2 linked regions of the Drosophila melanogaster genome follow. The protein of the gene in region 1 interacts with the protein of each later gene in a pairwise test. Each region holds a gene or a part of one and is shown in the gene's direction. Other genes may lie near its edges.

The links. Proteins that work in one complex are often made in the same cells at the same time.
Region 2: the proteins of fand (region 1) and C1GalTA interact in a two-hybrid assay, tested with the Drosophila melanogaster proteins (one large-scale study listed by BioGRID).

Annotation. Positions count from the first base shown.
Region 1 is NT_033778.4:13,591,756-13,597,070, forward strand, and holds fand (fandango), read left to right. Parts: upstream 1-1,888; 5' UTR 1,889-1,970; coding exon 1,971-2,015; intron 2,016-2,073; coding exon 2,074-4,104; intron 4,105-4,167; coding exon 4,168-4,743; 3' UTR 4,744-4,802; downstream 4,803-5,315. Other genes in the region: CG45088 (uncharacterized protein), read right to left, coding at 1-17; S-Lap5 (Sperm-Leucylaminopeptidase 5), read left to right, coding at 5,067-5,315. UniProt on the Drosophila melanogaster protein: Subunit of the NTC(Nineteen)/Prp19 complex, which is part of the spliceosome. The complex participates in spliceosome assembly, its remodeling and is required for efficient spliceosome activation. Essential for efficient pre-mRNA splicing.
Region 2 is NT_033779.5:8,948,183-8,952,748, reverse strand, and holds the start of C1GalTA (core 1 galactosyltransferase A), read left to right. Parts: upstream 1-1,532; 5' UTR 1,533-1,771; exon of another isoform or gene 1,772-1,979; intron 1,980-4,566. UniProt on the Drosophila melanogaster protein: Glycosyltransferase that generates the core 1 O-glycan Gal-beta1-3GalNAc-alpha1-Ser/Thr (T antigen), which is a precursor for many extended O-glycans in glycoproteins.

The DNA of each region.
Region 1 (5,315 bases):
CTACTTGAACGCGACATGGTGACGAATTTTTAGCACTTTAGATGACGGAAGATGGTTGGAATACGAATAATTTTATGCACTTTTATTATTAACTAGCGTTTATGCGTCGATGCGTTGCTTTGGCTGCAAGTAGAAATAAGAACAGAAGAGAGGAATGGAATCAATAAATGAGACTATAAAAAGCGGCAGGAAAGCTGCTTTTGGCCAAGAGAAGCTTTCTCCGAGCGTTTCTGGAATATTCGTTGAAGTGCAGTGGGTGGCTTAGGGGAAATTGTGGTCAGCACATTCTCATTCTCAGTGGGCAAAATATTGAATATGATATAATATTGTTAGCAGAAGTCATCTCAATATGATATTTTATAATTAGCAATGTTTTTAAGCTATTTTTAAGTGAATATGCTATGGTTTTTTCAACTCTTTTAGATTATTTACAATTTTTAGACATAATAATCATTTTAAAAAATCTCATTTGAAAACAACGGGCATTTTTAATTTTAAGAATTAAAAGTTTTCCTTGAAATAAACCCGAATCTTTGCTGGGATTTTAGCCAACTGAATTGATAAAGCTTTTCCGCTGGCAGTTAAAAAAGCTGCATGCGGCTCAAAGCTGCAGTGGTTTTAGCCGCCTTTGTTGTTGCTGTTGTTGCTGGCGGGCGGCTTAGTGTGTCAGTTTAGTGGGTGGCAACAGTGCGAAGAGAGGGGGTGGCAAAGAGAGAGATATTGGGCCACAGCCGGCAAGGAAAATCTAAGCGCTTTTCCGCACTTTCGTGTGTGTTTTCTGTTTACATTCAATACGGGAGGCCCTAAAATGCCCAAAATTTTCCCTCGGGCAACAAGAGCGAGTGGAAAATTTTTGAGAACCATCATAAACAGCTGTTCGGGAAGCGGGGAAATAGATTTTCCGGTGGTGGTTTTTTTTTACCTAGGATCCAGTCTAATTGGATTTACCTGGACCAATTGGAGTGCGGCGGCACACACAAGTTTGAGCCTGTGCGAAAAATATAAAATCAATGCAGGAACAAGTGTGTGCGAAAATATTTATGACACCCACCCACTCACACGCTCGCACACACACACTTGCAAGCACACGCACACGTGTGACGTGTTTTTTCGTGTTTTCCCCTCGTCTTTTACTTACCACTGTGCTTGGTTTTTCCACGGTCGTTGGGTATTACTTAAAACTTAATTCGATTGATAGTCGTTCTATGCTGAGAAATGTTTCAAGCGCGTCATTTTGATCTATTTTTATAGTGTTTTTTTCGATAGACTTTGATTTTTTGCCTTTGGCTGCCAACTCGCCTGCGCTCCTCACTCTCTTTGGCTCTCTTTTGCACGGCTGTGTGTGTGTGTGTGTGTGTTGGTGCACTCACGCAGTTGCCTTCGTTGCGTAAATTATGCAAAATGCAGGCCAATTGCAATGTGTTTACAAAAACAGAACAAACGATCGCGTTAAGTGTGTTTTTTGCGATTTTACGAGCGCGTTAACTGGTCTCTGCGAAATACGCAAACGGTATGAACGTCAAAATATTGGCAGCAGCGACGAAAACATCTGCAGATGGGCTTACGAAAAATTCACAAACTGAGGCCAGTGTTGGGCAGCGGACGAAGGGCGAAATACCAATTCAAAGGGAGGCAAAATATACCGCAATGGTACTCTAGAAAATTCACGATTGTTTTGGTTTGTCCATAACTTCAACGTTTAAATAAGGTGCACTTAGAAAATTCTAGATGTTCACAATTTGTAAAAAAAATGTACACAAGCCAAAGTTATCTTAGTTTTATGAACAATTTTTCTGTATTCTTAAAATATTGTTTACATGTTAATTAGGATTTAATTACTTTGGTATTAGCTGCGGTATCTTAATACCACTACTTTTCAAACCTTCTGGCAACGCCATTTCGATCAGCTGTTTTCGTGGGACGCGCATGAGAAAATTATTGTTTGCGGCATTTCATGAAAATCGCGAAAAATGGTGACAAAAACGATAAAATCTCTGAATTTAGAGATCAATTTCGTAAGTACCATGAAATATATGTAAATCACAACTAACCTATCAAGTTTTTCACACACAGGAAGTGGAGGATGTGCCGTATGAGGAGGAAATCCTTCGAAACGCCTACTCCGTAAAACATTGGCTGCGCTACATTGATCACAAAGCGAAGGCGCCGAATAATGGTGTTAACATGGTCTATGAGCGTGCTCTGAAAGAGCTTCCTGGCAGCTATAAGATCTGGCACAATTACCTGAGAACTCGCAGGAAGCAGGTGCGCGGCAAGATACCCACGGATCCCATGTACGAGGAGGTCAACAGTGCCTTCGAACGTGCACTGGTGTTTATGCACAAAATGCCACGTATCTGGATGGACTACGGTGCCTTCATGACCTCGCAATGCAAGATTACCCGCACCCGGCACGTTTTCGATCGGGCTCTAAGGGCTCTGCCCATCACGCAGCACGGCAGGATTTGGCCACTGTATTTGCAGTTTGTACGCCGCTTTGAAATGCCGGAAACAGCACTGCGAGTCTACCGTCGATATCTGAAACTCTTTCCCGAGGACACAGAGGAATATGTGGACTACCTACAGGAAGCAGATCGGCTGGACGAAGCTGCCCAGCAGCTGGCGCACATCGTCGACAACGAGCACTTCGTTTCCAAACACGGCAAGTCCAATCATCAGCTGTGGAACGAATTGTGCGACCTCATCTCGAAGAATCCACACAAGGTGCACTCCTTGAACGTGGACGCCATCATTCGCGGTGGGCTGCGTCGCTACACCGATCAGCTGGGCCACCTGTGGAACTCTCTGGCGGATTACTATGTGCGTTCCGGCTTATTTGATCGGGCAAGAGATATATACGAGGAAGCCATTCAAACTGTGACCACCGTAAGAGACTTCACCCAAGTCTTTGATGAATACGCACAGTTCGAGGAACTCTCGCTGAACAGACGTATGGAGCAGGTAGCTGCCAATGAGGCGGCCACCGAGGAGGACGACATTGACGTTGAACTGCGGCTCTCACGCTTCGAATACCTCATGGAGCGCCGTTTGCTGCTGTTGAATAGTGTGCTTCTGCGCCAGAATCCGCACAACGTGCACGAGTGGCACAAGCGGGTGACACTGTACGAGGACAAGCCCGCCGAGATCATCAGTACGTACACCGAGGCCGTGCAAACAGTGCAGCCGAAGCAGGCGGTCGGCAAACTACACACTCTCTGGGTGGAGTTCGCCAAGTTCTACGAGGCCAACGGACAGGTGGAGGATGCTCGTGTGGTCTTCGAACGCGGCACTGAGGTTGAGTATGTTAAAGTAGAGGATCTGGCGGCGGTGTGGTGCGAATGGGCAGAGATGGAGTTACGGCAACAGCAGTTCGAGGCGGCACTCAAGCTGATGCAAAGGGCGACGGCCATGCCAAAGCGAAAGATTGCCTATTATGATGATACGGAAACGGTGCAGGCGCGCCTTCATCGCTCGCTAAAAGTGTGGTCCATGTACGCGGATTTGGAGGAGTCATTCGGCACATTCAAGACGTGCAAAGCCGTCTACGAGCGGATTATTGATCTGAAAATCTGTACGCCACAGATCATTATCAATTACGGAATGTTCCTCGAGGAGCACAACTACTTTGAGGAAGCCTACCGAGCCTATGAGAAGGGCATCTCTCTGTTCAAGTGGCCCAATGTCTACGACATTTGGAACTCTTATCTAACCAAATTTTTGGAGCGCTATGGCGGCACAAAACTGGAGCGAGCCAGAGATCTCTTCGAACAGTGCCTGGATCAGTGTCCTCCCGAGCATGCTAAGTACTTTTATTTACTGTATGCTAAGTTGGAAGAGGAGCACGGTCTCGCCCGGCATGCCATGTCGGTCTATGATCGTGCCACGTCTGCTGTCAAAGAAGATGAGATGTTCGACATGTACAACATATTTATAAAGAAGGCAGCCGAGATCTATGGCCTGCCACGTACCCGCGAGATCTATGAGAAGGCCATCGAATCGCTGCCCGAGCAGAATATGCGCCACATGTGCGTTAAGTTTGCTGAGTTGGAAACGAAGTTGGGCGAAGTGGATCGAGCTAGAGCCATCTATGCTCATTGCTCACAGGTATGATAATATATATAGATTTCTAATGCATCACTTAATCTAATTATTGTTTGCATTCTTCAGGTTTGTGATCCCCGCATCACTGCAGACTTTTGGCAAACTTGGAAGGAGTTCGAAGTGCGTCACGGCAACGAAGACACAATGCGCGAAATGCTGCGCATCAAGCGCTCTGTGCAGGCCACTTACAATACGCAGGTGAACATGATGGCCGCCCAATTCCTGAGCACAAACAACGGAGCGGCTGCGGATGCTGGAGCAGGAGCTGGACCGGATGCCATGCGATTGCTGGAGGAGAAAGCTCGCCAGGCGGCAGCCGAGTCCAAACAGAAGCCCATCGAGAAGGCGGCCTCGAATATTATGTTTGTGCGCGGTGAGACTCAGGGTGGTGCTAAGGATAAAAAGGATACGGTCGTCAATCCTGATGAGATCGACATTGGAGACAGCGACGAGGACGATGAGGAGGAGGACGACGATGAGGAGAACGAGATGACGAACGAGAATCAGGCCAGTGCAGCGGTCACGAAAACCGACGAGGAAGGCCTGGTCATGAAGAAACTGCGCTTCGAACAAAAGGCCATTCCAGCCAAGGTCTTCGGCAGCCTCAAGCCCTCAAATCAAGGCGACTCTGATGGAGAGTAAATGTTTATACATATATATGACTTTTTTCGGGGTAAATACATGTATGTCGAAAGTTTTACAATTGTAATTGATCGGTTTTTATGTTCTGGCCTCAATTAGATTCTTAAATGGTACTTTGATATTAATTGTTGTCAAACGAAGGGGGCCTGTTAGATATTGTCTCCGTTTTGGATGATCTAGTTAGTATAGCCTTAGGCCAAACAGAGGAACACACTTTCAACTGTCATTCCAAAATTGTTAGGCACTTCGTGATCTAAAAAAGCTAACCAGACGTGCGCAAGGGCGGACTAACCAGGACTAACCACACACCGTGTATCTCGAAGATGGCATCCACACGCATGATCAGTGCTTTTACGCGCAATCCAAGATTATATCAACAGGTCACGGCACCCTGGAAATCGTACAATCTGTTTGGAACACCACTTTTTAACCACAGACTTCAGCCAGCGGATTCTCAAATCTGGAGGGGATTAGCAGACAAGTGTGACAACAAGACTGTTATCAAGGGCGTGGTGGTGGGCGTCTACTCCAAGGAGGGCGACGGTAAGGAGGTCAAGATGACGTCCAGCGGC
Region 2 (4,566 bases), on another chromosome or scaffold:
AACGGGTATCTGGTAGTCACGAAACTCGACTGTAGCGTTTAAAAAACTCCTGAACTCTCATTCGTTGCTCACTAATTAGAAGACAGAATTTGCCCTTATCAGAGTTGTCAGATAATGCTAACAAGAAATACTATCTTATCTGAAGTGATCGATTGCAAAAAGTTATATGAACTCATTAACCAGCCCCACATCAATAAATATTTATTAAAGGCATTCGTCACCAATTGCATTAATTTCGATTTCTGGGTTTAAAAATATTTAACGTATATTCACTAATTTTGGCTGACAACATGGAGTTACCTTAATAAATTTTCAAGTAGTCTATGTTCAGGTTTCGAATATGAAGTATTAGAAGTCTTTAGCATCACAGAAGCCGGTTGTTAATGTACAATAGATAACGAATCAAACAAAAACGTTTCTTAACGAGTTTGCGCGTATACATAACTTGTTTAATTACAGTTGCGATATCGCAAATTTTTAACGTACAATGCAAAAAATTTCTTGCATTCAAATTTGATGTTAGTTATATTTTCTAATAACGGTTTTGGACAACTATTTTTATAGCTTGTGAAATCTTACTAGAAAAAAAAAAAAAAAAAATACAAAAATCTTATATTTTTAAACGGGGTTTTCTCTATAACTTGGTAAAAAAAAGGTGGCACATCTAACGAAAAAAAACACTGTTTTATACTGCTCATAAGCATACCTAACTATCCCTATCATAATTTTAATGATTTTCAAAAATCAAAATTTGAACAAGTTTTCGGTAATTTTATATTCTTTCCTTTCTAGATTGTGATTTTTGGAGATATTTCAGACGTACAATTATCAATTTATATATTATGCACATATATTTGTATTCATTCTTTGAGAAAGTAATATTCGAAAGAGTGGACACAAATCTTAGAACCAACCCCAAAAACAAACCCTTAAGATAGTTTCCAACAGCTGTTTTGCCAAATATATGGTGACTAGTAGCGAGTGATGAGAGAAACAGGCCATTGATAAATCGAAGTCACACCACTTATATATACAAACTACATATCTTACCTATAATATTTTAGTTTAATAGAAGTTTTTTTTATAATTTTCAAATCACTCTCGCTCTTTATAGAAAGCCGGTACCGGTTTACACCCCCTTTCCGACACAAGCATATAAAAAGAACAGCGAGAGAGAGAGAGAGTGAGCTTTGGTTCTCTCACTTAATTCTGTTGATTGCACAGGTAGAAACAAATAACTTGTATACTGCGATATTTAAATTTATTTGTTTTTGTACTAATTTGTACTATATTCTGGTTAAATATGAAATAGTTAAAAATACTTATTGGGAACTGATATTTTAAATAATATATTTAATAATACTTGGTGTAATTAAATTCAAATTTTTTACTTTTATTGCACTAGACAGCAATAATAGCTTATGTTTCAACTTCGATCATAATCATAAATTTTTTTAATTTACAACTTTCAACATTTTCTTGCCAGTGTACTCTGTTCTCTTCGTTCTCGCTCGTGCTCAGTTTTAGAATTCGCGGCAGTTGTTTTTGTTTGTCCGGCGCGTTCGCTTGCTTCACTTATGCGCTTGTTGAAAATCAAGGAAAGGGCGCGGAAAATAAGTTTAATTAAATATTTCGAGTGGCTCGACTAACACAGCAATTAAGCGAATGTGCAAAACGTGAAAGCAGTTGTGAATAAAACGCACTCATCGCGAAATTAAAAGCTTTTTGGGAGCGTCCTGCGATGGAGAAACGCGTGAGGAAAAATCAATTCGTAAGTAAATGGGCGACGCGAAAAACGGTGATTTAAAAATCAAATGAAATGAAACGCGTGCGGAATTTACCTGAACGGAAAACTAATCGGTCAGCAAAAATTGCGTTTTGTGCCAAAACAGAAAGCGCAATAAATATAATATACAATTGCGCATATGGTGTATGTACATAGAGTGCAAGAAGAACGTGACAAGGAAGAGCAAACGAAGGTGAAGAGTGTGAATAAAACCAAAACAATAAGAACGAACAAGTTTAAGCCACTGTTACGGCAAGTAACGCACGAGAATATACATATGTACATATATTGGTTTCCAACTGGAAACTGAAATTGACTAGAAGGAAGTGGAAGGAAGAATTGCCTGACGGCCTTTCCTTCCAGTCCGGCCACTCACACTACCAAAGCCCCTTGCTGCAGGATGTTAAAATAAAGCTAATGAAGAAAAGAATTGAGAACAGTATAAAAAAAATAGCTAAACTCTTGGGTCCCCATTCCTAAAATATTTGTAAACTCTGATCCTATGCCTAAAAATTATAAAATCAATGCAAAAAGTTTAAATTATAAGGTACAGCATTTATTAAATTTAACGTTCTGTTCCAAGTGTGTTTGAGGCATTTAAGGCGACAACTCTAATATGTTATCTGTTTGAGGGTCGTTGGTCTTGAGTATTTTTAATAACCCGCTAAACACAAAGGAATATGTTGATAACTAGGCGAGAAGTGGCTTCCCAATTCGTGATGTCTTATCCTGGTGGTTGTTGTTGTCTCTGTTAATGTAATGACATTCCCCAAACAGCTGCATTTTGGTTTCTCGCTCTCCGGCTCTCTTCAGTTGTCATTTCCGTTATGCCCTGCCATGCACTCAGCCCTCCCCCTCTATTCCCTTTTGCATCCGGGGGGTGAATTAACTGCAGCCGAAACGCATTTACTTTAATTTATTTGTGGTTCCAGTGGGCGTCACTTTCTCTCCCTCTCATTTTTATCTCGACAGAGAGAGAGAGAGCAGCACATGCTATTGTGCGTGCATTTGTATTTGTATTTCTCGTCTCTGCTCTCTGATTAGCCTTCTCTTGTTATTGTTGCGGGGATAATTCATATGCAGATTGCACCTAGTGATTGCCATTCAAATTCAACTGATAGTGGAAGCTGGAACTTGTACTATAAACATACATATGGTTCTTCCTGCTTCAAGTAAAAAAACAGTAGCCATTTCCATCAGTCATCAAAGTAATGAACTCTCCTTGCAACATATGGGACTGAATAAGAATAGTACTTTATGCTACTTTTAGCATGTTTTCGTTTTCCAGAAGAGAACTACCTAGTAAATGAGTTTTAATAATTATGAATGACTCTAAAAGACTGATCCTTAAAGAGCTCCTTACTTAATGTATTATTACATTATTTTTAAAAATATTCAATACCAAGTCAAATAGTTTTTAATGTATTATTTCTTGTATTGGGTGTATTTGTTCTTAAATGTGTGTTATTTCGTAAAGCCAAAAATCTGAATTTGAATAGACTAACCCAATAACCTTAAACCAGCTGTGCCATGCCCCGCGGGCTATACTATAGAATATTGTTCAATGGCCCCAAAAAGGTGCCATTTCACGTGAGATTCAGGTGAATAGCGCTATACCTATTCATTAATCAGCAATCAATTATCTATCAGCAAAGCCTTTTAATCAATATTTAATTAAGAACTCACATTCCGACTTTTCTTCTTATACATTGCTTTTGTCGATGTCGTTTGAACAACAGAGTAATAGATATTGTTCATTGGGACAGAAAATAATAGTTACTTGAGAACTCTTATAGATAAGCTCTCCGTAAAGTATACAAAATTTTAAGGAATGGAATTCTTTAAGGTTGAACTAATGGCATAATCACTTTTCTCATTCGTTCGTTATATGAATCATATTAATATTTCCATTTTCATTTGCTGTATTGTACTATTACACGATGAACAAAGAAACAGAGTTTTAAAAACGAATGCCATGTTTTTTTTTTGTGCCTGATAACAATTCCGCAGTCCAGTTCCACTTTGATAAACAGCTGCCGACATCATTGTGCCAGTCCTTACTGTATTGTTTATCTGAAAGGGAAGTTACTGAAAGTGAATTGAAATAAAACGAGAATCATAGAGCCAAAACATTAAGTACAGGGTACTTTGCTTATACGGGCTCCAAAAATAAAATACAATAACTGAATTAAAATATTTGCGGGATCGCAGAGCGTGGCTGATTTTATTGACCGCAGATGAAAAGCGGCCAAACAAAACAATTGTACAATTGGTTTGGTTTCTGGTTTTAGTTTGTCTTTCTGGCCCATTCTGTTTTTACATTTTTTTTTTTAAATTACGATGAATGGACTGTCACGCTAGTCTGAGTATAGGGCAGCAAAAAAGCAAAAGGCACTCTATTAACTGAATGACATAATAATAAATTTAGTTTAGCTTAATTTCTATTAACAGGTGCTCCATTACGCGCTCTCGATGAATTAGTTAAGAACTAGATTATTATTATTATTATACATATATAGTGAATAAGAATTTAAGCTACATAAGTTGACTTTTGGGAAAACTTAACTACAATATTAAGCTGGTTTTGAAAAACCCATAAATATAGTTATGCTTATCTATTTGAGTTATGATGAGGTAAACGTTTTATGTCAAGGGTTCTACACACACACATTGAGGGAATTTTTTAAGCTTTACAATGCCACAAAATATTTTTTTTTATTATCTGTGCAAGGTACTACATCTTTGACGAGACAAACTGGTGTTATAATGTTTTATTATCT